Linked DNA regions of Arabidopsis thaliana. The protein of the gene in region 3 interacts with the protein of the main gene of each other region in a pairwise test. Each region holds a gene or a part of one and is shown on either strand. Other genes may lie near its edges.

Evidence for each region.
Region 1: the proteins of KNAT6 (region 3) and BLH6 interact in binary tests that used the Arabidopsis thaliana proteins (3 or more experiments, as listed by UniProt).
Region 2: the proteins of KNAT6 (region 3) and BLH5 interact in binary tests that used the Arabidopsis thaliana proteins (3 or more experiments, as listed by UniProt).
Region 4: the proteins of KNAT6 (region 3) and RPL interact in binary tests that used the Arabidopsis thaliana proteins (3 or more experiments, as listed by UniProt).

The regions. Positions count from the first base shown.
Region 1 is NC_003075.7:16,528,852-16,536,479, forward strand, and holds BLH6 (BEL1-like homeodomain 6), read right to left. Parts: upstream 4,512-7,628; 5' UTR 3,935-4,511; exon of another isoform or gene 3,723-3,934; 5' UTR 3,648-3,722; coding exon 2,997-3,647; intron 2,806-2,996; coding exon 2,438-2,805; intron 2,362-2,437; coding exon 2,301-2,361; intron 2,214-2,300; coding exon 1,695-2,213; 3' UTR 1,495-1,694; downstream 1-1,494. Other genes in the region: AT4G34600 (uncharacterized protein), read left to right, coding at 429-513, 789-835, 988-1,107; SSR16 (small subunit ribosomal protein 16), read right to left, coding at 6,233-6,395, 6,966-7,011, 7,109-7,241.
Region 2 is NC_003071.7:11,635,640-11,642,966, reverse strand, and holds BLH5 (BEL1-like homeodomain 5), read left to right. Parts: upstream 1-3,429; coding exon 3,430-3,864; intron 3,865-4,050; coding exon 4,051-4,430; intron 4,431-4,606; coding exon 4,607-4,667; intron 4,668-5,187; coding exon 5,188-5,661; 3' UTR 5,662-5,861; downstream 5,862-7,327. Other genes in the region: BSL3 (BRI1 suppressor 1 (BSU1)-like 3), read right to left, coding at 6,785-6,868, 6,947-7,086, 7,183-7,318.
Region 3 is NC_003070.9:8,296,791-8,306,787, forward strand, and holds KNAT6 (homeobox protein knotted-1-like 6), read right to left. Parts: upstream 5,811-9,997; 5' UTR 5,703-5,810; coding exon 5,382-5,702; intron 5,244-5,381; coding exon 5,115-5,243; intron 5,014-5,114; coding exon 4,875-5,013; intron 1,199-4,874; coding exon 957-1,198; intron 868-956; coding exon 709-867; 3' UTR 501-708; downstream 1-500. Other genes in the region: MENG (S-adenosyl-L-methionine-dependent methyltransferases superfamily protein), read right to left, coding at 1-103. UniProt on the Arabidopsis thaliana protein: Plays a role in meristem function. Contributes to the shoot apical meristem (SAM) maintenance and organ separation by controlling boundary establishment in embryo in a CUC1, CUC2 and STM-dependent manner.
Region 4 is NC_003076.8:392,828-401,113, forward strand, and holds RPL (POX (plant homeobox) family protein), read left to right. Parts: upstream 1-2,739; 5' UTR 2,740-2,926; coding exon 2,927-3,646; intron 3,647-4,346; coding exon 4,347-4,747; intron 4,748-5,101; coding exon 5,102-5,162; intron 5,163-5,499; coding exon 5,500-6,045; 3' UTR 6,046-6,298; downstream 6,299-8,286.

The DNA.
Region 1 (7,628 bases), on a different chromosome or scaffold from region 3:
ACTAACCTCTTTAGACTTATTGTGGCCAACAATAGGAAAGTAGTCTCCTTTCAACTTTTTCTCCAATCCCACCATTTCCATGAACAATTTTTTTAATTAAAAGCATTAAGAGATATTTGCATTAATTAAATGATGGATAAATCAATTGTTGTTATGGTATTTTACTATTTTTATTTATTTGTAATTGATACAATCTAATTTTGAAACTCAAGCTAATCTCTATTTAAACCGGTTTTTATTGTTGCTTTTTATTTAAAGCATTCACGTTGGCTAAACAAATTAGTTAACTTTTAATCGTGTTATTTCTTTAGAGATTATATATAGTGATATACCAAACGCATTGGCTTCTCTTTTTTTTGATAAGGTACGTGTATCTAAATACACAAGATACAGCTTAAGGCACATCAAAAATTGAAAGGAGAAAGAAGATGGGTTTGTTGCCATTGGTGAAGAAACTAGGTTTCATCATCTTTCTTCTAGTTTCAGCTTCAGCGTTTGCTCTCTGTTCTGCAGGTTTGTTTCTTACTTTTTTTTCTCTCTCTCTATCTACATATTTATATTCCTTTGTTTGCAGCTTTTCTCTGCAACTTCATGTGCCTCCTACTGAGATCAGTCTTTTAGAAAGTAAGATAATAACATTAAGAGCTTGTGCTCTCCACATGTGTGTTAATGACGACTAAAGGAGAAAATTAACGACATAGTATGTTACGTTAGTGTTATTTGGATTGATTAATCTTGGATATAAAGAATAGACAAGCTTAAGTCTCTTTTTTTTTTCTTTTTTGTAGGCCGATCATCCATTTTAATCTATAGCCAAGAAGATGATCATCCCGAGGTATTCGTTTTAACTCCAAAAAAAGTTGCCAACTACCGTGCGTTGTATATCTTTACTTAGTAAAAAACCGAACAAATTGATAATCAAGATCGTAGTTATATGATTTCAAGAACAATTTTGTACGTTGGTGAATACATTCTATTTGTGGACAGGTAGTAGAAAGAAGAATACATGAGCATGAGAGAATTCTGAGAATGAATTCAAGAGACTATGGCCACTCCAGTCCTAAACCAAAGCTCGTGAGACCTCCTTTCAAGCTTATTCCCAACTGATCATGCATATCACCGATCGACTATATATAGATGCCAGACTTTCTGAGATGTATAATATATGTAAACCTAAATACTAACACTGCAATAAGTTTGAATGATAATCATATATATAAGTTTCAAGATATGTTTTCTAGTAAATTAATGATTAGATAGTGCTCTTTGCTATCATGCAGAATGTAAATTTGGTGAATAGTCATCATTAGATGAATATTACAATTTATCTGATAGAATCCTTATGATCAAAATTAATATTGAAATATTCGATTAATTCTGAAAACGGATACAGATTGTATATGTGCCAGACAAAAAAAAAGAGAAGAGAATTGGGAACGTTGCAGTTTCGTAGATGTGATAAGATAATAAGTCTACAGTGTAATGTCCATCTCTTGCAGATCTCAAATTGCATTTACCATATTCTGTTTGGTCCCAATGACCTAACCTCACTTATATTCTTGTACAAAAGAATGTTTACTTTATACAAATATTTCTAAAACTTTTTCTTCTGACCAACATTCTTCCACTACAGAATTGAGACTGATCATAAGTTCATCACACCTATGCTTTATTCCTCTCCATTGCTTACTTCTTCAAGCTACAAAATCATGTACCAATTGTGAAGAATTTATCCGGTTCTGGCGACTTCCGGGGTTTACATACTCCATTTCATCTCCCGGGATGGCATTCTCGTAAATATCCACCCCGGAAAAGTTGTTGTATGCCTCACTAGACATAGCCACAACATTGTCCTGTCCTTGAGAGTTTTGAAGCCCTAGAGTCAAGGACACATCACCACGACCCAATCTTGACGTATCAGCCACATGATATGTAGGCTCAACTGCCATGAACCGGCGACCATCCATATGACTGCCTTGGACCATGCCACGAGTTTCCTCGCCATATCCATGTCCATGGTCCGGTTTGGTCTGGTCTTGTGAAAACTCTCGAGCTCGATCTTCATCATCAGCAGCAACAGGTCCTATCTCAGACATTTTCGGTGTATTTTCGGAAGACGAGTTGGAATCATTCTCTGTGAATTCCTCCTTGTATATCTCCTCCACCATTGGCTTCCATAAACGCACTCGTGCATTTATGAACCAGTTTGAAACCTTTTACAAACATAAAACACACAACAATCAATAAATAAACTATACTATGAAGAGAAAGAAACAATCTTCAAATAAAACATTCCTTACCTGACCGCGGCTCAAGCCCGTTTGTCTTGCTAGCATGATCTTATCAGAATCCTTTGGGTAACTATTCATGTTTTCAAACAGTAATCATCACTATTTATGAAGAAAATGTGTGGAGATAAGATTCAAGGGAGACTTACGGGTGAAGAAAATGCTCAAAGAGCCAAGCACGGAGAATCAAAACAGAGTTTTCAGGTAGACCGCGTTGAGGTCTCCAAGCTTGAGGTTGCATAAAACCTCTTTGTTGTCTTAAATGTTGATCAACGTACTTAAGCCGGCTTATAATCCCAACTCTTTTCCCATCTGATCCATCTTGTTGTTCCCCAAGGCATTTACGTAGCACGAGGATTTGTCCGGATATCGCATCCCTTAGGCTACGAAAATGGCGAGAAATTGTTTGAAGGGCGAGTGCTGTGTATGGCTTAGCTGCTCCATAACCAGCTATCACATCGAACGAGGATACAACTATCTGCATCTGCTGGTAATATTGCTTATATCTTCTATCCACCTTTACCAAAATCAAGAAATATCTCATTTTCTTAAATATTCAACATATCCTATATATACCAAATGTAACAACATTATGGCTGCAATTTATTTAAATGTATGCTTTTTTGCATTTAAAATATTATAACAAAAGGCCTATAAAAGGTAACCATCACATGATCAAATTAAGAAGATTAGGTCTCAAGTTATTACCTCATCCAACATTGACAAGAGTTTTGTCAACTTGCTCTGCATTTCTTGTCTCTCCGACTGAGAGATGTCCGCAGGAGGATTCGTGCTCGAGTCTTGAGTGCTCTGATTCGGTTCTTGAGGGTTCTCATTGTTTTTATCTCCCTCTGCCTGAAACTGCTTTAGAGCTTTCTTTACATTAACAGCCTCATCTAGAAGCTGTTGAGCCGCCTTAAGATACTTTGAGTTGGGAATTGTTCTCACAACATCCAAGTTCTGATTCCCGCCCGGAAAACTCTGTGTTGCATACTCATTGCCTCTCGGCGCCATATTTTGATGGCTTATCTGATGAATTCCTGGAAGAATCTGTGAACCAAGGCTAAGGGACAGTCCCTGACCGGTCTGAAGAATCCCCGTGGCACCTGCCATCGCGCTCATTAGCTGGAAACCGTTCCTGTCACTCGCTTGATCTCTCCAAGAACCGAAATCTTGACCAATGTTCTGCATTTGTGGAACTCCCCCAAATCTGGACAATGCTTGCCTCTCTTGTGAGGCTGAGACATTGTTAGCTTCAGTTCTTCTTTCTCTACCGGCTGATTCCTCAGAGTAAGAAACTATAGCATTCTGGATCATTGAATCTCCGGGAATAAACTGTGTTTCTGGATAATTCTCCATCGAAATGGAGTGTTCTTTTTGGCTCACTTGAGTTCCATAGTCCCTTGTTTTCTGATCAGGTCGTAAGAACTTAACCTTATGGAGGAAATGCTTGACATTAAAGACAGATTCAAAAACAATTGAAACAGAGCAGGATCCATATAATCAGTGTATTGCTAAGAAACATGTAAGATTTCAACATGTCTTGAATATATGGTTATGCATGCAATTATGGAGATGCAAGCCAAATCCATAGACAACAAAAAAAAAAGAAGAATTGTATAGAAATAAAAAGATTAGTAAATTACCTGGAAACCAAACTGCTACTTCTGATGGATTGTTGAAGGAGACAACAAAATCTTGAAAAGAATTAAAAATTAGAAAATGTGAAAGATTTTATTGATATCTTAAAAGAAAGAAATCAGAAGGTTACGCCTCTTTCTCTTGGTTGTGTTTTTTTTTTGGTATGAGATATAATTTGAATTCATCATCTCATCAATGTCACACGTGAAAGACCCATATCATACTCTCCCTCCTCCGGAAGAAAGAAAGAATGGAAAAAAAAAACTTTGAATTTCTTATTTAATAGTATATAATATGGTAATAAGAAAATCAAATAAAAACTTTATTTTGTTTTCTGAAGATATTGCTTCAGAAAGCCATAATCTGGTTGGTGCTTGAACCTCCTGCTTCTTGCTTATTGATTCCTGGAGTCAAGTCTTTGGTAAAGAGAAGAAAATTATTGTGAAAATGTTATATAAATGTATGGTTAAGGAGTTTCTATCTTTAACAACCAGTTGGTCGACCTAAACCCCTCTCTCTTCATCTTTCTCCCAATCCTAAACCTAATCTTAATCCCAATCCTTATCACTCTCTGTCTCTTAATTACACATTGATTAAATCAATATCCTCCATATAATCACATTTCTATTTTCTTTACTTAAGTTGAAAAGTACAAAGAATCAAAGATGCTACTAGCTTCTTGACATAAAGTCATCTTAAATTTAAATTTAAATTCGGAAGTGTTGAGTTATATAGTTTATTTTGCAAGTAAACAATAAAAATTTAGCAGATTAGTAGATCGTGGTGAATTTTGATTAAGTATATATATCACAACTTGTTTTTCTGATGAATAGGTCATTAACTTATCATTATAAACACATAACTAATGTTTATTATGTGAGTTTTGATTAAGAGTATTAGCTACTTTACTTTTTAAGTAAGCCAAGCCATGATTGTTTCTTCTTCCTTTTCTTTATATATTTCTTTCATACTTTTTTGGTATCTGATTATACATTCGTGGACTCTGGTCGTCCAGAGGCTATGCAACTATTAAAGAAATAAGGGTCCCAAAAAATAACAAACACAACTTTTTCTTCTTTTTTATTTTCATTTTGTAAACACCATAAGTGCTCGTTTTCCCCACTGAGTTTTGTCTTTTCCTGGAAACAACTTGTAGATATTTATGGATTAGTACTTTTTCTTTCAAATGCTTCTAAACTTAGCATTCACTTTCTTGTTTGACAGAAGTCTATATCCTAAGTCCTAAGTCCTAACTTGGTAACTACTATAATCTTTAAGACTAGGGTCCAATACTGATTAGAGGCTGAGAGAATCGTTAGTTCCATGGGCGAGACTTGAGAGCAACAACACAAAGATAATGAGAATGACTTAGATAGTGATAGGAAGTTGATCAGGGTGGATTTTTGAAGAAATATAAAGTATTAGGTGTAGAATGAAAATAGAGGTATAGCTGTCTGAATAGGGACAGATGTTGCAGCGAGAGGGTCAGAGCCAGAGATGCCGTAATAATACGAACAATGAACATCTCTGAAGGAAGAGAGAGAGAGAGAGAGAAAGAGAGAATCTAATGGGATACGAAGCGAGAGATTTTGTTGGCCCAATAGAGCTGTAATGTCCCAAAGACACATCCTTTTTTCCATAACTATAACATTTTTATTAGAAGACCAATTTAGTTTGAAATAGATTATTGTCTAGTTACTAGTCTCTTGCATGTGTTTTTAACACATATAGACGATACAAATACATTTTGGCAGATATTGAAACCAAAAAGACGGAACAAAATTTTGAAGAGAAGCAATATAAGAGTTTCAGACCTATATGAGAATAAGAACTAATTTCAAGATCAACGAGATTATATAACTACTACCATGTAGAAGTAAAGATATACATAAAAGGTAAGAACGAGGTTCTAATGTCCAAGATCATATTCAGGCAGATAACTTTTTTTTTTTTTTTTTTTGAGCAAATATGGGCCTAATTCCTTTTTTTAGCATACAATCCAGATATTGAGAATGAATCTTATTTTTGAAAATATGGGCCTCTTACCAAAGCCTATTTAGTCTAAAGTGAGAATTGTTAAATGTAAAAAGGCATGCTCATATTAAAGAATAAAAATTCACCAAACTCTGTTGCAGAAAAGTCTTAACCAACATAACATTAAACTGCTTTCACATAGAAAGCAAAAGTCTTAAACAACATTACATTAACTCCTTTCACATAAACAGAAAAGTCTTAAACAACATTACATAAACTCCTTTCACACAGACACAAAAGGCTCTTTCTTGCTCAACGCATCAACACTCTTAGTTCAAGATTTCACCTGTAATGGGTGAAACATGTTGGCTCGTAGACTTCTGCCCATTTTTCGAACCGACCACTACCATAGGCTTTGGTGGTATCAAACCGGCCCTGAAAAGCATGCTTTCCACTGTGTCTGTTGGTTGAGCTCCAACAGATAACCAGTACCTGCATTATTCGAGTACCATAGAGTGAAAATCAATTTCTTTCAACAGTTGCACAAAATAAAAAAGAAGTTTAGTTAGACACCAAGAACTGTGTGGATTTAGACTTTTAAACCAGTCTAATCAAATCAATCATACAAGCAAAACCAAGCCTCACAGAAAACTTGCACCAGATGAAATGCATTAGGTGTAGAAACAACCAAACATGACTGAGAGAAGCAAATGAATTAAGGATTGTAGCCTTATGCAAATAGAGTTTTGGACACAGAATCAACAGAAAGCATCTCAATTTGTCACAATCTAAGCAATTAGGCAGCATCATTGTGGCAAGAACAAGTTTATGACCTTGCAGAATACTAAAGAGAATGAATTAAGATGATTAAAAGACAAACAAGAAAACACATTCATGAGGAATAATCAATCATATGGATAATGTCGAGAAAGAGACTCTTTAGTGTTTCAGTCTTATCAAACAATCATGAGTTTCACATCTAACTGGTGTCCTAAAATACTTGACACAATTATACAAGCAAACAGGAATATGAAGATGATAGAACAAGTAAAAAAAACATACTTGATTCTGTCGAATTTGAGGCTCACTCTATCCGCATCTTCTTTGCCTGAAGACGTACAAGTAGATTCATGATAGCAGAGACATTAGGAAGTGTTCAATTTTACTGAGAATTGAGAAATGTATATAGAGGAGAAATAACGAACCTTGGAGTGGATCATAAAAGCCTAACACCTCGATTTGTTTACCGTCCCTGCGCGATTTTTCATCGGCGACAACTACACGATAGAAGGGTCGGTGTTTACAACCAAGACGCGCGAGCCTTATCTTCACCGTCATCTCTGCTTGGAAATTGAGGTCTGAGAAGTGAGAAGAAAGAAGATAAGTAAAGGTTTTTATTTAAGCTGGTGGGTTTTGGCTTTTTCCCCTTATCTGTGTTCTCTTTCTTCTGTTACGATCGTTATTGATAAGATGGGCCATGTTGGGCCAGTTTACATTTTATCTCTTTATTCACATTAAGCCCATTAGATCTGCTATACGTTTCTTTTCGTGATTTGCTATACAGAAGTCACTTATCTAAAATCTCGGATTATCCAGAAATTCCAAAATATTCAATCAGCTTCCTGTCTTTAAGGATCTTCCTAAAAGAAATTGCTTCAAAATGTTCAATTTGAGAACACCAGCATCTTGTTATCGTATAGGTGTTTGACTGTTAGTAGAGAGATA
Region 2 (7,327 bases), on a different chromosome or scaffold from region 3:
TATCTTCGGGATTAAACTTCCGAATATTCAAAAAAAAAAAGAAAAAATGTCAAAATCTGTGAAAATTATAAGGGTATTTGAATATTTATCTGTTTCATGAAAATTGATTTGTTTTAGGATTTTTATGTTTAAAACATTGATTTTTATATTTTCTCAATAAGTAGATGACTACTCACATTTTGCGTGGGACATACTTTATAAGATTGGTTGATTTGATCTTTGAGGAACTTAGAGATTATCTGACAATATCTCGTTATCAGATGACACAATCAATTACCTCACAATAGAGATTCCATAGGTCATGGATCGTCATTGACCAGTTTGATAACTAATGCATGAAATTAAAAGTAATGCAAATTAAAATTAAAAGTAATAACAGGGTCATAATATTCCCATTGGTGATGCAGTTTTTATAGAAATTTTGGAATGAAGTAGTGTTTAGATTCACTAGATATCAAATAAATTTCGTTGTGAAAGAGTTTAGGGCTTGGAAAGAATCTAAGTAGATGTGTCAATTAGACTATGAGGTTAGAGACTATGACGAAAAAAGTTGAGTTCGGGCAATGTGTCAAGTAGATGGTCATTTTGGAAAAAAAGTTTATCTAGAGATAGCCACGAGTCTGGGATTGATTCTATCACAGTCGGGTGACCGTACAATATTAGAGTAGGAGCAAAATACTATAGAAAGATTTTACCTCTTCAAGTTTTGCAAACGACAAGTGATTAAAAAGAATCATGTTCAATCTCTTAAAACATCATTTGAGTAACAATAAGTCAATACGCAAAAGGTTCTTATAAGATGACAAAGTAATGAATTGTTTCCATAATGGCTAACTAAGATTAGAAGTTGCATGATAATGCAGTCCACACGAGATGGCTACTTTTTTCAGACCTACTTCTTTTTACTTTATTTTTTACGTTGCTCTAATGGCGCTTTTAATTAGTAATTTAAGCTTTAATTAGCTTTATAACTCAATCTTAACGTTTTAATGATGATCTTTGATCAGTTATGATGGTTTTGACAAAGTAAAGAATACACTTGTCATTCTCTGATTCCAACATGGCTTTAGATTAATTCATGCTAACCCAACTTTTTCAATACCCTAGTGGAATGTCCAAGTCATTCCCTTAATATCCCATCAGTATTTTGTTTCACTTACCTTATGATATAATCAACAGAATATGTTTTCAATGTTATCGTGTCCAAAGTTGAGTTTTAGTGCTATATTTTGTGGACCAACCACAAATATCATCAAAGAAACTTTGGTTTTGAAATTTATTCTAAAGGTCATAAGCTTTCAGAGAAAACAAAAGCATAAAATTATTCTCTAGATCAAAATTTTAAATATATTCAAAACTCATTTTTATTACCTAGCTAAAAATTCACTTGGTCTATACAAAGAACGTATAGTTTGCTAAGCCGTTTTTAAAAATTCGAACAAACATTAAACAGCTGAAAACCAAACAGTAAAAAGAACGTATAGTTTGCTAAGCTGTTTTCAAGACGATTAGAAATATTATAAATATAATCTGGATTTAGTTTCGGCTTTTAACATACAGTTTGTTTCACTTCACTTTTCTTTCTTTCCTCATCCTAGTTAAACTTTTATAACACACTTTTTTAAAGTTGTATTGCATTGTCTTTTTCTTATTTGTTTTTACAGTTACTTACTCTCGGGACGAATGGCGAATTGACACAAATCCACGAATGTAAATAAATAGCAATGTCGCATTATACTTAATTGATCTAAAAAGGAAAAATACTATTATCATAAAGTGAAAGATATAAATACAACTTGGATCTGACCGACACGATGAATTCTCATACACAGTCTCAATCCACCAAACTAAATAGTTATTATCACATTCAATAATAGAAAAAAAATTGATCTCAACACATATCGCGATATCAATTAAGATACGTCTAGCTTTATTTCGGTGTGTGATGGGAAGCTTTCCGAGGAATACAGGCAGATAATGGCATCACCAAAAAATAATGTCTAAATGTAATCTATTAATAAAATCCAAATTTTATATTAGTATTCGAAATTATTTTCTAGATACATTACTATGTCAAAATGTGTTTTAACTATGGATGGATGCTTAATTCGAAGAGTAATGAATTTCCGGGAATTGTGGACCATGTGGTCTATTTTCCAATGTACCATTACTATCTTCAAACACAAGTACTGACAACACAAAGAAAACATAAGAGAAAATATGATTTAGAAAACTATATGAAAGGAATAGGGAAATTTTGAAGATAAAGGCGGAACCAGGCAAATAAACTTTATTTATTTTGGCTGATAAATTTTTAAACATAGATTTGCATTGCAATACAGTTAATTAGTTGTTTAGTTGTGGAAAAGAAGAAAAAGAGTGACTTGTCGCAAACTAATATGGTTATCTAAATACATAAAAGAAGACTTTTGATGTGTGGAGTGGAAGTAGACGTTTCCTCGTTCTTCAACTATCTCCATGGTTCTGCTGACCCACTTCTATTATCTTTTCACATACATTTAACTATACACATATACATAGATTCATTGTAGATTTTAATTTAGTAATAATAATACAATATACTAATAATAAATGTTGACCTACTAAGTTATTCATGTAGGGATCATATAGATGCGTTGCCAAATATTAAACGTGCGGACATCAAATGATAAGACAATACTACCATCTGTAATATATTTTTCTCGTCAACAACCATTAATTAAAATCTTATTTCACCTATAGTATACAAATGGTAAAACGAATGACAATGATAGAAGTGTGATCGTAAAAATATATATATGGTAGCTATACTTATTCTTAGATAGATTGTCTCGTAGATCTACATTTGCGACCACATTGAAATTTTTTAGCTAGGTTGGATATTGGGTGTGAATCGTGCCTAAGATGCAAGTGAGAAATATTGGATATGTAGCAGTAGCATGCCGTGCATATATCATGTATGCTAGAATTGGTGATTGGTCAAAATCCATTGAACTTCGAAACATCACAAGAAAAATATTAATCGTGAGTGTCACTGTTTAGTTGTCCAATGAGATATAAAAGAAAAAAGTACATATTTTTCCCATTTATGAAAAGTCCAATCACATTTTATTTATAAAGGCGACTTATTGGACTTTCTAGTTGACAGATCAATGAAGCAGAGGATATTTAGATGATCATCGCAAGCAGAGAGAAAGACACGTCGAAGAAGACAATGAGAAACTCACACCCATAATTTGCTGCTCATCATTTCTAATTATTAAATAAAAACGGTAATTTAATTTTCTTGATTTGTCACATCTTTATTTCATCATCTTTTGCTTACCTTTTCTTCCTAAGCTCTTGGATATTATTAATGTTTTAGATCGATTTATATTATAATTTGATATTTTCTTGAATTGCAAGTTTTGTTGCTTAATTGTCAGAATAATGGCTGCTTTCTTTCTTGGAGAATCTGAAATGAGAGAACACTCTTCTGATCTTTTTATGATGACTCTGAATCCGTTTCGCGAGCAGACAACGACCACTAATGCTCATGACGATCACTTCTACAACTTGTGCTTTGGTTCCCAACAATATAGACCTCGAGATGAAGTAGGTCATATAGAACAAGGAAATTCTTCCATCTCCACTTTTTCAAACGGAGGAGTCTTCAGGGCTTTGGCTCCGATCTACTTGAAAGCGGCTCAAGAATTACTCAATGAGATTGTCAATGTTGGAAACGGTAGCCACGGCGCAAAACAAGAGCGACCGGTGAGTAAAGAGTCCACGATTTATGGAGTTGAGGACATCAATGGTGGCTATAAGCCTGGCGTAGCTGCTTTGCAAATGAAGAAAGCAAAACTCATCTCCATGGGTGAAATGGTAACTTATTTATACCTACCTATATAATATGTGATACACAAATAATAATAATAAGATCTTTGTATATACAAACCAACCATGGTGATATATATAATGGCAATAAACTTTCTGTTACTTTGAGATCGGGACTCAAGTTCAGTCCATATATTTGGTTATTGCATGTTAAGTATTTGATACTTTATAAAGGTTTCAAAGATTGGTAAATTGATTTGGGAAATGAATTTGGTAAATTATACACAGGTGGAACAGAGATACAAGCAATACCATGACCAAATGCAGACTATAATCTCATCGTTTGAGCAAGCTGCGGGTTTAGGCTCAGCAAACTCATACACACATATGGCGTTACAAACAATATCAAAGCAGTTTCGTGCTGTAAAAGACATGATAAGTTTGCAAATCAAGCAAATAAACAAGCTCTTGGGACAAAAGGAATTTGACGAGCAGCTTAAGAAGTTGGGAAAGATGGCACATCACCATTCAAATGCTTGGAGACCGCAGAGAGGTTTGCCCGAAAAAGCTGTTTCCGTTCTACGCTCTTGGCTCTTTGAGCATTTTCTTCATCCGTAAGTAACGTTTTCTTCTATCTTTAATTCTTGTTACGATTATTGTCGATATATCAGAATGATGGGACCTTGAAGCAAAGGGAACTAACTAAGGATATGGAAGCTAGGATCATTACTTAGTTTTGTATAGACATGCATGCTAATGATTTAGTTGTGTCTTGTTTTGGTTTGTATAGATATCCGAGGGATTTGGATAAGGTAATGCTTGCCAAACAGACTGGCCTTACTAAGAGTCAGGTAATTGATTTCGATTATCAGAAGTTGGACATACTTAAGTTTCTTAATGTTAGATGTCTCATACATAGTACATATACAATTTCATGACATCATCTAACACCGACTATCAAGAATAAATAATCTACAGGTAAAACCGAATATATATATAGATTCAAACAAATTTTATTCCGATCAAAAAAATATTTTTAGAAAGATATCTCTTTATTTCTATTTTTTTTTCTTTTCGAGTCTGAAAACAAAAACGTACCCAAGAATTCTAAGAAAAGCAGGTAAACCAAATATATTTTGGTAAATTTATTTAGATAGATGATGTATATTTATTTTATTATAATTATTTTAATGAAAATAGCGATGATAGCATACGAGAAATATCATATATGTGATCCTTTGTAAAGTAAATCAAATTTATTTTGGTTAAATTAGTAATTATATATATTATGGAATACTTTCTTTTAGCACCCATGATTATATATAATCAAAATAAGTATTGTTAATAGTATCTTGTGTAAAATGGATGTAGGTGTCAAATTGGTTCATTAATGCTCGAGTTCGAATGTGGAAGCCACTGGTGGAGGAACTTTATTCGGAAGAAATGGATATTGAAGAAAGCAGAAAAGGAAGTGACCGGTATAGTACCAAAGGTTCATCTTCAAAGCAACCGTACAATAATACAACTTCAAATGAATCTTCGAACACGATCCTACCCGCCTTTCGTCAAGGATTCACTGAAACTGAAACCCCTAGGCAAAATTCATCCTCAAGTTGCAGCGTAGTCATGAGGTTCACGAAGCAACACATGAATCAAGCGAACTTCATCAATTTCAACGGAGGGTTCGAAAACTATCACACAATGGATGGAAACAGCGTCTCCCTTTCCCTCGGCCTGCCTCATTCTTGTGACCAAACCTTTAATAACATTCATTTTGAGTCAACAAGTCATGGAACTGAGAACTCGGCCATATATTCATCTTCAACTTATCAAATCATGGATTAGAAATAATTAGTGGGGATGATATATTTTCTGCTTGTTGCTTACGTATATTCTGTGTATAGTTTTGGCCCTTGGATGGTTTCGTATGGGTTGATGTGTGTAGATTGATAGAGAGGAGATGATTAAGTAAAGGTTATGATAAAAATGTAGATAACAATACTAAGCTAAAGAAATATATATGGTTTTCGATAGTCAGGTTTTAGTTAGTATTGTTACGTATGAGTGTAAATGAAGATCAGATCAACCGTGAGATCCATATTAGCTAATAGTTGTGACTTTATGAACGTGTATGTGTGTGTGTGTGTGTGTATGTCCCCAAAAACCCTAACTTAATCTCCCACCTCTTCTGTCTTTTTTCTAAAATTTGTTCCACAAAACAATGAATATATATTAGCTATAATTATTATTTTGTTGTTTTACATGATCATCTTAGTGACCTAACCACAAGTTAATTGGCTACCAAGAAGTTATGGATTTATTTATTTGAGTTGATTTTTTGTTTGTCTTCCATATCCAATTTTTTATTTTTTATTTTACAAACTAACAAAATACAGAAATGTTTTAAAAATGATGGTAAAATAAGAATATGATAGAAAAAATGGGAGAGAATATTTTCTGTATCATTAAACACACAAACCGTTGCTACAAATTACATACTGAAAAATATGAATGAAGACATTATACAAACGACCAAACACACCTCTCTATGATACATAAATACCCCAAAACTAAAACAACCTCTAAAATCCTCCTCCTACTCACTCTCCTGTTTGTGTCCCTCACCAAAAGTCCAATACCACATATATAATCAATACTAAGAAAAAAAGCAAAGTGAAGAAAATCAAATATATGAATAAAAATGAGAAAACCCCTTTTACAAAACAAATACTCTTCCTCCTCACTACTACTACAAATTCTTTACCCTTTCATCATCTGACTTGAATGAACTTAACCTGTGAAATTCTTCGATAACTCAAAACCCTCATTGATCCATCTCGTTGGTAAATAGCAATCGATAATTGAATGGTTTGGTTGGTTCTGTACACAACATGAGGATCACCTAGAGGCGGCTGTCAGGACTCGGGAGAGGTATGTTATCTCGCACTCGTCACTCTTTCTGTAGGGTTTATATCCAAGCAAGAGAGCCGCGGTCATTTGGATTTTGTGGGCGTCCTCTTGTTGGTGTTGGTGGTCTATTTACGTTTAACTCCTGCAAAATATCAATGCTTAGTTACGCCATTTTCCAGGTGGAAAAAGGAAGGCATTAGTATCTGTTTGAGATAAAAACCTGCATCCATGTATCCTCTATATGTCTTTCTGGTGAAGTTTCAGGTGAGGTTATCGCTGGAGGCAATGGATGGATAAGCTTAGGAACCACCACAAGATCTCTCCCCAACACCAAGATAGCCCCGGCATTGTTTGCGGTACCTGAGAAGGAATAAATATAGATCATTTTTTGTCAGAAACTATCAGATCAGGTCTTATTACCAGCTTAGGAGTGAGTTCTCGGTTCCATAAACATACCACAATAATTTGTTGCCGAAAAGAGCGTTATCAAATGACCTTGGGCAAAACGCTCAAATCCGTCCATCACGCATTCATGCGCACGTACAATCAATTGCAGATCATTGTTGTTGCAAAACTCCATGACACGGTCAGGCTGCAGTTG
Region 3 (9,997 bases):
GTTCGTTCGAGCATTTTACTACCGTTCTCCGTCGCGATCGGGAATTTACCGGGTGCTTTCCGGTGAAAGTCACAGGAGAGACGATACCGAGTAGAGCCGCCATTTTTTGGCCGTTGGTTCACACGATCATGTTGTTTTGTTCCGATTACTCGGATTGGATAAAAGTCTGGTTTCAGTTTAATATTGGGCCGATTTTAGGCCCAATAAGGATAATTTGAAACCCACCCCAAAATTTAAACAGAGATGGTTGGATTATGGGCACAAGGTTCCAATTGCTAGATAGCTAAACTTTTGGCTACAATTAGCAAAATGTACATGATGATTAAACTGTCAATAAAAGAATGTGTTTAATTTAGTGTGATTTACACAAATAACAAGATATTTTATAATTATTTTTGAAAAACACATAGTTAATAAACAAATCTAACCTATCTAAGTATTTTGTTTGTTCAACGTTTTGCCAATAAGAGGGTAAAAGCTATATCACGAGAGGTCCGGAGAAGACAAAAGAGGTTATTTTTATTCACCGATAATAATAGTTACAAAGCATTTTGACTTGTTCCTTCTACTACATGTGAGTGAGTGTAAGATCCATTTCATGTGTCGTCCATGCTTCACTCTTTCTTTCTTTTTTTCCTTTGTCGGCAAAGCAAGGCAGAATTATACATCCATCTTTTAATCAACGTTAAATAAGTACCATAAATAAATTCATTCCTCGGTAAAGAATGATCCACTAGAATCATCCATCATAGCGAAAGGCATATTCTCTGATGGCTTCCAATGACGTTTCCTTTGGTTTATAAACCAATTGTTGATTTGTTTTTGGTCTAACCCCGTTGCATCAGCTAATGCTATCTTATCTCCTTCCTGTGTACACACACATTCATACCACCCATTTATATATAAGTGTAGTGGTTAGTTATGTCGGAAAACATGCAAGTGTTGCTTTTGCTTACAGTAGGGTAAGGCCACTTATAATGGAGATTCCACCAATCAAGAAGAGCTTGTCTTGCTTCTCTTGGTAACTTTCCTTTCTTCTTCTTCTTTGAGAACTCAAGCTTTAAAGTACTAATACGGCTTCCAAATTTGCGTAGCAACCTATCTTTGAGGTCCCGGTCTTCACATCTTTGTCTCCCATCCTCTGCTACCTCATGATCACCTCCACTCAGTTCCTCGTCAGATGATATTACACCATCCTCTGTTACACCAAATTCACAAGAATTATCACTATACAAAGACATCAAAGACAGAGAATGGTTATAGGTTATAGCAAGTAAATGTAACAGAATTATCACTATTCACTACCATGAAAAAGTTTAAATGGGCTTTCTCGGCTAAAACGGCTAAGTGGCTAAAGAGGGCAAAAAAGGGAAAGAAGAAAGAGTGGTAAGGGGTAGAGAATATCGAGGACGCACACGATTGAGTGCAGCAGTCAAAAAACCGCCGCAGTGAATAGTTACCTCCATTGTCATTTGTCAGGAGAGGACTAATAGTCTTGTCCCCATGAGGAGACATCCCCCCTTAGGCCTACTAATTACCCAATCTCAATATGACACGTGTAAATACCATTTAGAGGTTGTGTGAACCCCCGGAAATAACGCTACACCTCTCATTTATGTTCTCCACGATACCCCAAAACTCAATTTCCTTTTCTCTCTCTCTTTCTTTAATGTATTTGGACATTTATATATATGCCCCAACGACTCTACTGACCCACTTACCCAGCTTCTCTGACACCAAAACTCAACCCAAAGACGATTCAAGAACATTACCTGATTTTACAATAGTTTTGCCTATGTGACAGAATATATAGTCGGACCAAGCAACCGTGCTTAGTCAAAATATTTAGTCAGTCACACAAAATACTGGACTACATAATATATACACGCAATTTCAGTCAGTTTATAAACATATATTAAAAAAAGTTAAAAGATTTCTACAACAGCCAAGGTAATTTCAGTCAATTTATAATTCACGCAATTCAGTCAGTTTTATAAACATATTATAAAAGTTAAAAGATTTCTACAGCAGCCACAGTAATTATGAAGGAAATAGAGATGTTAAATAGGCCAATAAAAATATACTAAAATGCATAAAACATGAACTGATCATATATTATAGAGACCATTACGTTCACATTACACACATATGAGTAGTTAGGGTAACAGTTTAATGGCAAAAAACGATAGTTTGTATGGTTGGGATTATTATTTACATTTTCAGCAATGCATTGACTGCTTTGAAAATAGGGTTCACTGAAGAAGGTAACATGCAAGTAGACACGTGCTAGTAGCGTGCCTCAGAGAGACATAATACGACCCACCAAGGGAACAACGCAACCAGAGGGCATGGCAAAAGAGTTGAGAAAGATAGAGAAGAAGCATAGTCGCAGTCTTATAGATGATTTGATTGTGGTGTGTAGAGAACCCTATGTCTCCTTTTTTTTTTAATAACCAAATCAAAAATAAAATCTTAGGAGAGAAAGTTGGTGGGGTCATTAGCGGAATCCACGGGAGTCCATGTGACTTTTCCACCTTTTACTTTATAACAAAAACCAAAAGAACCTCTAATTCAAGCTAATCATGCACTATGTTCCTATTCTTCTCGTTGCAGTATTCTTATCTTCTAGATCAAATATGCAAACATGTAACATTGATGATATTGCATGCAACAAGACAAATGTTGACTATAAAAGTCAATAAGAGACCATCCACTCTAAGTAGCAAGATAACCACGCATTAGAAGAAAAGAATGTGTTGCTTTTTTAGCTAGTCCAAAGAAGGGCTTTCGCTAAGTTGCATTACCGTATCACAACAACCAAGAAGTGAGAAATCAAAAGTCTATGTGATCAACTTGTATTACTAAATCAGATCAACATGAAAGAAACCAAGCATGTGATTGAACTGAGAAACTAGTAGATAACATCGCATCCCATGTGAATATTGTCTAACAATTGTAAGCTTCTTTTTTCTTTATTAGTTTATGATTTCATTCAGGTGAAAGAAAAAGATGGTTAAATAAAGCACACAACCAAAGAAAAAAAAAACAGATGAGATCATTCAAAAAGGCAAGTTGTACTTTGAACAAATTTTAAAATTATTAATCATAAACATTCGTCCATTATGGAAAACCTGCATCGATCTATTTTCAACTTTTCCAGTTGATACTCTATGCTAACTCTCGATTAGTTTATAAAGATAAGCTGATATGTTTTTATATATCAGCAGCTTTTTTCCCCCAATAAACAATATTACCAAAGTACAAGTGGAACCTGCATTTGAGATCGACCACGATAATGGAAAACTCCTGCAAAGCTGAAAAAAAGTCTACCAATCTATGGAGTTTCATTTCTTTACAGCTAACTCTTTCAGCTGGAGTTTTTCTTCTATTTTATTGTATTAAAAAAAAAACTCCTAAGGATCAGTATTTCTAGCTAACCTGATCGGTTGATTTGTTATGGCCACAATGTTTTTGCTAGTTGTAGTACAATATGTGGTCTAAAGAGATAATATCAGTAAACCACAAAGAAAGTCACTTATTTGAAGCATTTCATTCATGTATAAGCATAAAACCTAGACTTTTAAATCGCTTCAAAATTGAGTCAGTTTTGGTTTATTACTTACATATAAGTCCAACAAGACTCCAACAAGAACATGCAGATAAGAGTGGCCACTTGGCAATGATACTATTTCCGATGATCAACAAAAATCTCCCTACTCTTGTTCTCAGATCATTGAAACTTGAAATAGACCAAAGTTACGTTCTTCATAATAAATGTCGAATTCAGGATTAAATTTTTATTTCACAAAGAATGTCGTTTTGTAGACTTCTATATTAAATTTAAAATACAATTTTAACTTTATTGTTTTAACCTATTTAATTAGATAGAAAAATTATATGGTGTGTTATTAAGATATAACAGAAATTTAATCGTAAAATTATCTAAACACGCTTATTAATTCCGATCCAGAGAATCTGTGAATGAGCTTAAAGAGGAATTACAGCTAATAACTCTTATGGCTTATTGGTTATTAATAATCATCTGACCAAAAGAAGTTGAAGTCTTAGAAAAACTGGTAACCTAATAAGGTTGTTACCCATAAACAAGAGTGAAGCGACTTATGAGTTATGACTAGTACTTATACTTACTTATTGTTAAACGAGAAGTGAAGCAAAAGAAGCTCATGAAAAATCAACTACACATATTGTTAAAAAGTTATGACTAGGTTTTTCTGTCAATTGGTTTTTCACTAGAAAAAAGCAACAAGTTGAAAAAACATTCAGTACGCAACAAGCCTCTGAAACGTCAAAATCAGAATCTCTACCACAAAAGTTTATTGCTTTCTACACCATTTTCTTTCTGACAGAGAAAGAAGAGAAAAAGATATAAAGTAAAATTTGTATGATTAGCACAAAGATCAACAACAAGAAGAAGAGGAAATCCCCACCACACTCCAACACCCTAATCCCATGGCTAAAACATTAAATGAACGAGTAAAATAATTGCACAACACCTTAAACAGATCTTTGTCTCCAGAGTTTCAACGTGCCCAAAAGAAAAGCACACACAAAACAAAACCCATCAAGGGAAAAATAGCTATGGAAATGAAACTTGTAGCTAGGGTTTATCTTCTTTTTTTTCATTTTTTATCTATTTTGCTTTCTGATCACTTCAAAAGCCTAGGGTTATTCTATCAACAAGCTACCAATCATTTTTCAGAAACTGGTCATATGAATCAAAACCCTATGGAAATATCGAGGAAAGGATATTATTAATGAAAAACCACGGAAAAGATCAAAAGAAATCATTCAGAACTAACCACAAAATAGAACCACTAAAAGACCGAACCAGAGAGGGATAATTTAAGACATACCAGAAACTCCCCTGGCAGACTCGACACCAGTACATAGGTTCCGTAGCTGCATCTCAATCTTGTTCAAGAAACACGTTGCCTCGTCAAACGGTCTTGCTAGATCCGATTTGTATTTCACTAATATATCGCAGTACGTTTCCTGATAATAAATTATCTTCTTAAGTACAAAAATTTCCAAAAAAAAATATTTTAACAAAAATAAAAATCCGAAAAAAAATCGAGGGAAAAAAAGAGAGAGACCATAAATTCATCAAGCTCAGGATCAGCTCCAAAGCAAGAAGAAGGAACAACCTCTTGCTTATAAACATCACTCTCCCGTTGAATCTCCTCTAGTAAACACGCTATCTCCGGTGGTGCTCCGACCTGTTTCTAAATTATGAAATTGTTAAACCATAAAATTATAAAAAAAACAATCAAATATCAAAGCTTCTCAATCTTATCTTTATCTTTAAAAAGTAAAACCTAGATTTTATCTAAGTGATAAAAAAAGAAAGAGTTAACGATCACCTTTTGGCAATCGATGTAAGCTTGAAGTAAGCGAGGATACGAAGGATGACAAGCGATTTTAGCTTTGATGACAGTTAGAGAAACGTTATCATCATTTCTTCGGATCTCCGGAGCGATCGAAGCCGCCTCCGACGACAAAGCGGAGACGGCTACTGAGAGTAGCTCGTCGGATCCGAAAACATCAGAGACACGATTTTCACCGGCGGAGGAACATAGCAAAGCTTGGTAATCGGAAGGAAACATGAGACTCTCCGGTGACATCATCAGAACCGACTTATCTGAATAATCACCGGCCGAATGGAAATTGTACATTCCATCCATAAGTATAAGATCTCCGGTAAGAACTCCTCCGTCTTCTAAATCGCTTTCTTGAATTGTCTTCTTGCAAAATCAAGAATCGATGAAGAAGAATAATATGAAACCGCTTATAACAAACTTTTTGGTTCTTGAAAATATTTATTTCTATGGGAGTGTGTAGAGAGAGAGAGAGGCTCGAGGGATCTTAATTTATTTTCTTTTGGAAGAAAAAAGATATGAAAGTTAACGGAGAAGAAAAATAAAATGATAATTACGAAAAAGGACATATGCTAAAAGGCTCAATGGAGCTTCAGGCTTCATAGGTCGAGATAAGGCCTTCCTAACATATATATCTAAGAAAGGTCCAAGGCTGTGTTATGATAGAATTTGCATGATCATGAGATTTTTAATATCAATGAAACATGGCGAGAAACAAAATTATATATTATTGAAAACGAAATGGAAAAAACGGAAAAAGTGTGATTATTTACCAGCATACTATGTCAGTTTATTTGAACTCTTTTTTTTCTCATCGACAATACACTTAGATGGTAACATAACTACTAGTACATATAACCACTAAACTACACGCAACTTATTTGAAAGCTCTGTGTAATTTTCTTTTCAAAAAGTATAGTTGATGACTTGATGTATATATTATAGGACCTATAGAAACAAATTGAGCATCTAACATAATGATTTGTATCAGTATCGGCATTGTATCGTTATCTTCATTCAAATATGATAATATGCATGTGTGAGCTGTAGACAGTTAAAAAAATAATCCCCAATGTATATATATTTTCGAAAAACTTTGTAGAAAATATATTTTTATTATGATCCTAAGAACATATATAGATACACCTACATAAATCGTTTATTTGATTGCAAATAGTGAAACAAGGTGAAAATGTTAAACAACAAGTGGAAAACCGAACAGAAGAAAGAAAACAAATGAAGTCGCATATCAGAAGATAATATAGTACTAATGATATTGAATCGAGTCAATTAGAAATAGATATTAGTTCAGTATATGAGAGATGTTTTGGGTATGTTGAATCGAATATATCAAACTGGAAAAACAAGAACTGGTTACAAACAACTAGTGAGCTGATACATACATATATATAGTTAAAGAGCGGTATTATTTTAATACTTGTCACTGTAAATTTGTTGCTAGATACAGAACAAAATTATCGAACACGACTACTAACAAAATGATAATCAACACATATATATTCAAATGATGGTATGAAATAAATCAAATGTGAAGAATATATGGATATGATAAGTGATTCTTAGTACCTACTACGTAGTAAGAAATTTTTTACCAACTCGGATGTTGGACACTTCGATTGTACGGGATGAAATGGGTTTCGAGAAGCGAAGGTCCGTTCCTAGATAGTAGATAAGAAGGCCCTAATGGAAAATCGTCTAATTAAGATTAAATTAGTATATAGTATCAGCTAGTGTTTACTTTAGAATAGTTCTGTATAAAGCAAGTTTGTGGATAAAACTAAGAATAAAATAAACGCTGGTCTAGGCGTATAGGAGCTGCAAAATCAATGGTCTTAGCTAATTTATGATTTATGAAATTTATGCCAAAATTGATGATGCTGATATTCATGATGACTTTAGCTTATGAAAATGAACTATGTAATTTATTCACAAAAATAGACATAAGCATAATTTGGTATATTTAATGATTTTACATATGTATTAAGTTTGAAATTATGAAATTGGCCGTAATTTAAAGAGAGTATCAAGAAAAAAACGAGCACTTTAACCAAAAAGAAAATAGAACGAGAGCATCTATAATATTTCGAATGGAACTATTCTTTTAGTTTTGTCGACAGCTTTTTACGTCTATCATATAATTTTCAATCAAGAAAGTGGCATGTTCTTTCATACTACTTTAATATAAACTTTGTTTCTGTTTTTATTTTTTTTCTCAAAGACTAGAGAAAGTCATTTTCATCTTAAAGGTACTTGCAAACTATTGGTTGCTCTAAATCACCTAACGTATCATAAATAATCAAGGGGAAATTAAGTTAAAGAAAGGAGACTTGAAATTAGATAAATATGAAGTCACAAAAGCGAAAACAATATATATATCACAAACGAGTTTGCCTTCTTATTATTGGCAAAGATCAGACGAAAATATGTTATTTATTTATTTAACATATTATTTGTTCACATATGCATATTCTTGGTGAGAAAAAACAATACAAATTTTTTCTGGAGACACAATCAAAATGTTCAATATTTTCTTTCTCTGGTTATCCATGCGATGCGCCACTTGGATGCTGATGTTGAGTATTGAGCTCAGGAAACTACGTGCGATGTTATATTCATTTTCCATCAACATATCTAGGCTTTGTGATTTGATAGATTCTTTTCATTTTTCTGTACCTATCTCCCTACCTATCTATATAATTGCAATAATCTATCACCAAATAATGTAAGACGACATAAATATATGTAACCCAATTATAAAGTTCGTCTACGTATTATACATGCAGCTAAAGTACTGAATTTATAATTCGGCTCGTGGTCCATTCTAATTGTGACCTAGGATCCAACAAATAAATTATTGAGGAAATTTACTAAGCCTCTCAACCATTTTTTAATAACTATGGAATTTTTCCAAACTAATCTCCAACGTTCATAGTGACCAGCCATGATTTTTTAGCCAATATTTATAGATTTGCAACCATATTTAATGAGTTTAGTGCTTCGAAACCTTGTTTCCATAATGTAAATCATCAACGGAAAAACAATAACAAGATTTATAAACCAATATTTTATCAAATATGTTCCTCTATTTTCTCTATTAAAAAAAAGTGTTAAAAGGGTCTTTTCGTTGATGGACAGGTTGATTGACCCATCCATTTTCGGGCCATGTTTGTTCGAAAATTATCTGACACAAAGTTACGGTTTCGTATGAATCCATATAAAAAACAAACACAGCTTTGGTCCCTCCATCCCATTCCCTTGGATCCCGACCGTTGATCCTCACCCAACTTTTATAAAATGTTAGGATTACTAGTTTATACCCATACCATCATCAGCTTGAACCACTTGTTAGTTGTTACACTTTTAATATTTGAATTGATAGTTATATCTGGTTATAGGTTTATAGCCGAGTAGCCGACTAGTCAAGTGTTTTACATCAAATAAAGGAGTGATCTAGGTTAGGTATATCGGTATTTAACCTGTTAATTTTAGAATTTTTATATTTATGTGGGTATTGTTTTGCAAAAACCCTTGATATCTTAGTTTTGGAATATGATGCATAACAAATAATCGATATTATTCCAGCAATGTTTGTAAGATATATAATTGATATGATTCGAGCAATGGTTGTATATGCCCATTCATAACTAATAAGAATCTGTTTTTTTTTTTTTTTGTTGATAAAACTATAAGAATCATTTGAAAATCTTTTGGTATAAAAGTTCGGAATCAGTGTTAATATCATAAAGAGAAATTGCGGGTTTATTTGAAAGAATTATATAATACCACTTGGACATGATTGAGCATAACAGAGTAATAATTGATCTCATTTATGTTAGGAGAAAAAAACCTCCCACTCAACAAAGTTGTTAAATGTGAACATACCTGCTATTATAGGAAGGGACAAAGTAACCCAGAATAGATATATCTGTGGTCTGTGGACCAAAAATCTTCTGGATTAGAAATCTGATTAGAGCACCAAATGTCTCGGTCTTTGTTGTTCATAATCAAGCCTTATATACACCATCACCTCCTGATGGACGTAAGCCAAAATTTGTTTCTAACTATATTTAAATAAATATTCAACCAATGTGTAAAGTATCAACTTTAGCCAATCCAAACGTGACAAGAAAAAACCAATCCAAATGCGGTACGTGGACAATCTGACAAACAATATGAATACATTTTCTTTGTGGTTTTATTAGCTCGAAAAAGATAAATAAATAGTATGTAATTCATGAGTGACTAATGACATATCTTTTCATGGAATATATGGGGGAATAAATCTAGTGAAATGCAGCTTAAGTAGCACGAACCATAATGTTATGCGTATTGAGTTATAGTAACCTTATGCTTTTTGGGTCAAGATAGGATATTAGTATATTACTAATAGTTTTACTTCTTCTTCAAGATTTCAGTGATGTAAAATGTTCAATATTAATTAAGTCGAGATCCGGTCTAAATATAGAGCATATAAACAATTGAGATACAAAAGGAAATCTCTTTTTAATATAAAAATAAATAAGGAAAGTTTAGAATATGTAACAAACTAACAAATGCACATAGGTGTTGTTTTAAATTAT
Region 4 (8,286 bases), on a different chromosome or scaffold from region 3:
CAGCCAAGAAGGTGAAAAAGGAGCGATTGCTTAAAAATGTTTTCGTGTGGTTACCCGTGATGCAATGTAAAAAGAAAAAAGAAAAAAAAAAGAAGAGAAGAGAAGAACTAATAATTACGTGCACTTTAATTTACTGTAATACTTTATTGGAGTGCCTTGGTTCTTTTTCAATTTTTGTGGTCCATCTTAGCCAAAAGAGGAAATACTTTTATATAATATAAAATATTGTAACGCAAAGTATTGCTTAGTATTCGAAACACATTTTTTCAAATGATTTACGTCCCATTATTTCCCATGCAAACGGAAATATCCTCTAATGATTATTTCAAACACGATTATTACAGTACAGTCGAAATTACTTTCCCGGTTTAATCATATTCTGGCATATCTTATAACATATTTTTTGCAAAGGTATTCGCTTTTGTTTTTGTGACAAATTATTTATTAGGTTTTTAAATTATTACAAATAACTCTCACAGACGTATGTAATCCAACACATAAAATATATGGTTGATAAGAATTCACATCAATTTTGATTAATTTAGGGACTATAAATATGTTATATACAATAATTAATCTATGCATCTTTTTTAATCATTGTGATTGTTCTAGTTATAATAAAATATGGTTGATCACAATTCACAACAATTTTGATTAATTTATGGACTATAAATTTGTTAACATAATTAATCTAGGCATCTTTTTAAATCTTTGTGATTTCTCTAATTATATAATATGAACTGCAGAATTTGATTGTTCTCAATGTATAATCTTACGGGTCATACCATACCATCCATGCTTTGAGTTAGGGATGTCAAAATAGGTCAAAATTCATGGGTCAACTCAACTCAACTCAACCCATGAACCCTAATGAGTTGAAAATTTTGACTCAAATGAGTTGATGAGTCAAATGGGTTAATGAGTCAATTGGTTTGATGAGTAAAATGAGTTGGGTTGTAATGGTTAATGGTTTCAATGGTTTACCCAATTAACCCATCAAATTTTATAAAATTGAATTAAACCAACTAAAATCTCTAAACCAATGCCAATTTAAGTTTAACCAACACATCTAAACAAATTTAATAAAATTAATATTTTTCCAAATTTCTTAAATATACAAGCGATGAAATTGAGAAAAAATAAATTCGTAATTTTTCCACCAAAAAACATAAACCCGTGATTTTCTCGCCAAAAACGTAAACCCGTGATTTTCCCGCCAAAAACGTAAACCCTTAATTTTCCCGCCAAAAACGTAAACCCGTAATTTTCCCACCAAAAACGTAAACCCGTGATTTTCCCGCCAAAAATGTAAACCCGTGATTTTCCCGCCAAAAACGTAAACCCGTGATTTTCCCGCCAAAAACGTAAACCCGAGATTTTCCCGCCAAAAACGTAAATCCGTTATTTTTTCGCCCAAAACGTAAACCCATGATTTTTCCGTCAAAAACGTAAATCCGTGATTTTCCCGCCAAAAACGTAAATCCGAGATTTTTTCGCCGAAAAGCTTAAACCCGAAATTTTCCAGCCAAAAACGTAAACCCATCATTTTCCGGCCAAAAACGTAAAAAACTATAATTTTCCTGTCAAAACGTAAATCCGTGATTTTCCGTACCTAAAACGTAAACCTGTAAAAAATAAAATCCGTAAATATCTTAAGTTTGATGATAATGAATTAATAATGATAATTATTTATTATTGTTTTATAATAATAATTAATTAAATTATTACTTAAATGGGTTAACATCTCAAACCATTAAATTAAATGAGTTATAGGTTGACCCAACACATTTAACAAAATGAGTTGGGTCAACCCATAACTCATTTATTCTTAAACTCATTTGATTATAAGTTGAGTAGAGTTGGGTTATCCATTTTGATATCCCTACTTTTAGTACTATAGCTACAAGCCTACAACTATGGAGATTAGTGTGAATGTATGATTGTCGAATAAAAATAGAGTGACTAAATATTTTAAGCGTAAAAAGGTATTTATTCCAGCAAAAGAAAAGAAGAAAAACGACAAAAAGAAGACTTAAAAGTTGTAGAAATGTCAGTACGTATGTGAAAGACTGAGACACAGAACACTTTGTACAAGAACCAGTTCCAGTGTCACCGGTTACAGCCGGTCGCCTTCTCTTGATTCCCCAAAGCCTCTCCCACCAAACCCGGGACTTTTCACTTTTCATCAGTATTTTTTTTTGTTAAAGATTTTCATCAGTATTTTATATATATATATATATTATAAAGATCGAATTTGTTTGCATGATGAGGAAAGTATATCGAGTTACTATGTATCCATCGTTTGAAATACCCGTTTTAAAAAAAAATAATGAGATTTATTTTTAGGACTTCAGTATATATACGATTAACTTTTAACAGTTGTGTGACTAAAACGAAATGTAACAAAAATAAGAGAAAACTACAAAACAGGTAGTGAAAAATGACAAAAAAATTGTAGGACGCTAAGACGAAAAAATGATTCAAGAAAGAATATGTCTTTTCAATTTCAGTTTTACGAAATCGTGTAATAACGTAAATACTAAATCACGATTTCACAGAACCATATAAAATACTAAAATCCCACGCAATCATTAAACTTAATTCACCATTCTACGGATGACCTATGAGAGAGCATTGAATTGGCTTTAGTAACAAACACCAAAAAGATGAATCTTGACCAAATTTGTAATGCTCATACTAAATTCCTCCAAGTCTTATAAACATTAGATATTTTATATTTTAGGTTTTCAAAATATGTCATATAAAGAAAAATTTGATATACATATTGATCGTGCTTCAAAAAGACACCAAAAGAGCTTCTCTCTCTCTTAACCTCTCGTTTCGCCATTATCTCTTACACTGTTACTCTCTCTCTCTCTTCTTCTTCTTCTTCTTCTTCTGCATCTCATCGACATCATCCTTTCCCATGGCTGATGCATACGAGCCTTATCATGTTCTTCAACAAAGCCGGCGAGACAAACTTCGTATTCCATCTCTCGATTCCCACTTCCACTTTCACCCTCCTCCTCCTCCTTCCTCCGGCGGCGGAGGTGGCGTCTTTCCTCTCGCTGATTCCGATTTCCTCGCAGCCGGTGGCTTTCACTCCAACAACAACAACAACCACATATCTAACCCTAGCTACAGTAATTTCATGGGATTTCTCGGTGGCCCTTCTTCTTCTTCATCCACCGCAGTCGCCGTCGCCGGAGATCATTCCTTTAACGCCGGACTTTCTTCCGGAGACGTTCTTGTCTTCAAACCCGAGCCTCTATCTCTATCTTTGTCCTCTCACCCTAGACTCGCTTACGATCTAGTCGTTCCCGGTGTTGTTAACTCCGGATTCTGTAGATCTGCCGGTGAAGCCAACGCCGCCGCCGTCACCATCGCGTCTAGAAGCTCTGGTCCTCTCGGACCTTTCACGGGCTACGCGTCGATTCTTAAAGGATCAAGGTTCTTGAAACCAGCACAGATGCTTCTTGATGAGTTTTGTAATGTGGGTCGTGGGATTTACACCGACAAAGTCATCGACGACGATGATTCTTCTCTGCTTTTTGATCCGACGGTTGAGAATCTCTGCGGTGTTTCTGATGGCGGCGGAGGAGATAATGGAAAGAAAAAATCAAAACTCATCTCCATGCTCGACGAGGTATACAATAACATGATCAATTCTAATCTCTTTAAATTATTGAAATCTGTAAATTTTCTTTAATTATTGTCTATACTTTCTTACAAGTATGTGAATTATTGTGTTAAATGTTCACAGTTTTTGGTCGGTGTCCTTTGGAATTGGAGACAAAATGTGTTAAATGATATGTCTCTTAAAAAGATCTTCCTTGGAAAATGAAACTCCTTCAAAGCCATTTTAAAATTATATGATATTTTATTTAATTCATTATAATACCATATGTTAATTAAATTAATGTTCCCTACGTTTTGCATGAATAGATGATGTTATAGCGTCCATTTTAATACATTATATAAATTACAAGCTTGCCATCTTCATGCTGATTTTTAATAGAATTTTAAGGTTATACTAAAGTAAGGATAATATTATCTTGAGGAAGTAACTTTATATAGAGCTTCCTTAGCTCTTGATCTGAATTTGTGAATTAGATTCTTCAAATCTTAGGGGTATAAACATTAAGTGATAAAAAGAGAACGTCTTCTTTATGAAAGGAATATATGCATTATATGATCTTAAAGCTAGGGACTTAAAGATTTTAATTAGTTTATTCCGAGGTATATAACATACTTTTTGAGTGAGGAAATAATGTATAAATTTATAATCACCCATTTTATTATGTAAGTGGGGGAATCTAAAAACATTTCCATGTGACGTTTTGAAGGTTTACAAGAGGTATAAGCAATACTATGAGCAGCTACAAGCTGTGATGGGATCATTCGAATGCGTTGCAGGTCTCGGGCACGCTGCTCCGTACGCTAACTTAGCCTTGAAAGCATTGTCTAAGCATTTCAAGTGTTTGAAGAATGCTATAACGGACCAGCTTCAATTCAGCCACAACAACAAGATCCAACAACAACAACAATGTGGTCATCCGATGAACTCTGAGAATAAGACTGATTCTTTAAGATTTGGAGGAAGTGATAGTTCTAGAGGCTTATGTTCTGCTGGTCAAAGACATGGATTTCCTGATCATCATGCTCCTGTTTGGAGACCGCACCGTGGCCTACCCGAACGTGCTGTTACTGTTCTAAGGGCTTGGCTCTTCGATCATTTCTTGCATCCGTAAGTAACCCTTCTCGCCATATAAATGCTTTTGAAAGTTGTTGGATTCGAGTTTGAACTTGGTTCCAACAATTGATTAAACTAAATGCAAACGTTTAATTGATCATGAACCAAATTGTATATATATGCTTGTGAACAATAGCTTTATATGTGTGTGTCAGTGTGAATAAATATGTGTGTATCGAAGTGTATTTTTACTTGGAAGTATGTTTTAGATGGGACATGTCGACTGCTTGTTTGTTTCCCAAACTTGGAGATGTCGTGTTGCAAGCGTAATTATGTGTCTATATATATGTGTATGTTAGTATATACAATGATATATTAAATTGTTGTTGTCTGTGTCTTTTGTTGCAGTTATCCAACAGATACAGACAAACTCATGCTGGCTAAGCAGACAGGTCTCTCCAGAAATCAGGTTTCACTTCTGATATCTTCAGTCTTCTTCTTTTTTCTCTTTCCATCTTTTCTTGTTCACAATTTAACAAATTTCTTGCTAATTAAGCATGCACATAGTCACATAGATAAATATATGCTTTTATGAAATGAGTTTCTGTTGTCGGACAATAATTATATGTTTTAAATCTTTTCACATATATCATTAGTATAGTAACTATGTTATAATTTGGTTTATTAGGTTTGAATAAGTGTTACACTTTTGTTTTTGAAAATTTATCCGTTGGTGATAATGAATAATTTAGGGATTTTCTATCGCTTGAGGGTTATTAATTTATTATGGTAAAATGTTATTTTAGGTATCGAATTGGTTCATAAACGCAAGAGTTAGGGTTTGGAAGCCGATGGTGGAAGAGATTCACATGCTGGAGACTCGACAATCTCAGAGATCTTCTTCTTCCTCTTGGAGAGACGAACGTACTAGCACCACCGTCTTCCCTGACAACAGCAACAACAACCCATCTTCGTCCTCGGCACAGCAAAGACCTAACAACTCATCTCCGCCTAGACGGGCACGAAACGACGACGTTCATGGCACAAACAACAACAACAGCTATGTAAACAGTGGGAGCGGCGGCGGTAGTGCGGTTGGTTTCTCGTATGGAATTGGGTCGTCGAATGTGCCGGTGATGAATAGCAGCACAAACGGAGGAGTGTCTTTGACGTTAGGGCTTCATCATCAGATTGGGTTACCGGAGCCTTTTCCGATGACAACTGCTCAGAGGTTTGGGCTTGATGGTGGTAGTGGCGATGGTGGTGGTGGGTATGAAGGGCAAAATCGTCAGTTTGGGAGAGATTTTATTGGTGGTAGTAATCATCAGTTTCTACATGATTTTGTAGGTTGAGATTATTTGTGTGGAAAGGAAAAAATATGTTTGACGTTTGGGTATGTATAAGAAGATATGGGGGAATTGAAATGCATATGATGTGTATATTAGAATGTTTCTTCTTCTTTTTTTGTTGTTTGCTTACTTTCACAAATGTTATCTTTTTAAGAAATGAAATTGGATTCAATAACCAATGTTAAAAACATGGGTTAGACTTTAGAGTTGTCTATGTCTTGGTGAAATATAAAAGGCATCTATCATTGTTTTAATATTTTGGCATGATTCAAAACATGGTGCTTTTTTTTTTTTTATGTATGTCACAATTATCGTTGAAGAACGCGATTAAGATGTTTATCATTGATCGTTGATATTATATTTTGAACTATCTTGTTTTACTTGATAGTAAACATTGACTAAACAACATGTTTTCAAACCCTAAACCTTGAAATATTTCAGACTATTTGAGTTATCTTTTTGAGTCGGATGCAGTTTTGACTCCGATCCGCTCAACATTGTTGAATTCTTCTACTCATAAAAGAAGTTTGAGCCGATTTCAAACACACAAAACAAATGAGTTCGGTTTAATGTTCAGTGTGTACTAATACGTTGGCTTTTGAAGATCACATGAGAGCAAAAGTATTGAAAATAAAATTGTGCTTTTGTTGCTTCAAATAACTTTCCATTTGCTTTTGGAAAACAAGAAAGATATATATATATATATATATATATATATATACATAACCTTTCCCTCTCATGGGAAAAAAGTAAATCTTTTTCTTTGTAGAATTTATTCTCCGATCCTAACCATTTCTCAGCCTTTTTGTTTGTTTACACCATTTTTGTTTATATTCTTGGATTATGTCTATATAGAATAAGATGTAAACATAAACTGTATTAGCAAATATGTTTTGAATTATATGAAATTCAATAATTGAGAAGAGGTTCATGTAATGAGCCGAGAGAAGAATATAAAAGCAGTCAAATAATTTTTTCAAAAAACTATTTGTATATTAAAAAGGTACAAAGTAAAAAATAAATTTAAGAAGGTGCCATCATTGGCTCCTAAAGAACAAACTACAAAGAATCAATTTCTCATGATTTGATCTCTCACAATCCGTCTCCTTTATGTGGATGCGGAAAAACACTCTCCACACGTTTCATGTAAAAATTTTAGTTAAATTTCTAAAAACAATAGAGATACTATTCGATTTGTTCTTGAATTATTCATGAATACATATAGTGGCAACCTTAGACACTAGCCACGTCAACCGTACATGTTATATCATATATTTTTATATTGGTCTATCTATATGCTGAACTAGAGTCTAGAGATAAATATGAGAACATATAAGAAACCATGGACAACTAAAGATATTGTCTTTCTGTGTGAGTATTTGTTCCAGAAGCATTAAACCTTCGGAATAAGTATAATTCTTTTGCACCATTACTATTTTTATAAGCTTCACCAGCTCTATATATATTCTCACCATTAACATAAAACAACAACAACACGAAGAAGAAGATGAAGGTACTTGATGATGAACGGGTAATCTGCATCCTGAGGTTTAAAACCAATTAAGCATATACATATGCGAATGTATAGTTTTTAATCCTCGGGATACAGTTTACCTCTTCCTTACTCAAGAAAACACTTAGCTTTAACGGTTTTGGAGAAAGAAGAAGCATCGAATTAAATCCATTTGAAACAGGTTAGTTATCTTAGTGAAGAATATATCCATCAATCATAATTTGGTCTAGTCATTCGAAGTGGGATATGATTTGATACATATAGTCTAAAATATGATTTTATGCCAGTAATATTTTGTTTTCCCTGTCCCCTACCTATATCTAGAGCTTGAGATCCTCCTTTTAAAACTTTTAGATGATTAATCGTTTTACAAATCATAGTCCCAGACTTTCGTTCCAATCTAGATCGGTTTAGATGCGTTTTGTTTTGGAATTTATACAACGAAAACCAAAGTTTAGATTAAAAGATTCGAAAACCGGATTACATAAAATCTGGTCCAGGACCCCTTTGGTTAACGAAAACCAGACTAAAGGGCAGAAACGTCATTTGACAAAAAGAAGGATGATTCTCTCCTTCCTCTTTCCCCAATGCAAAGAAAAAGCATTATAGACTTTTCAAGTTTTCCGATATAAGCACGAAATCGCTGTTTCTCTCTTCGACGAAGCTTTGATAATTTGATCTCAATCGATCGATTCTATTGAGAATTTGTGTACCTGTTTTCTTATAAGGTT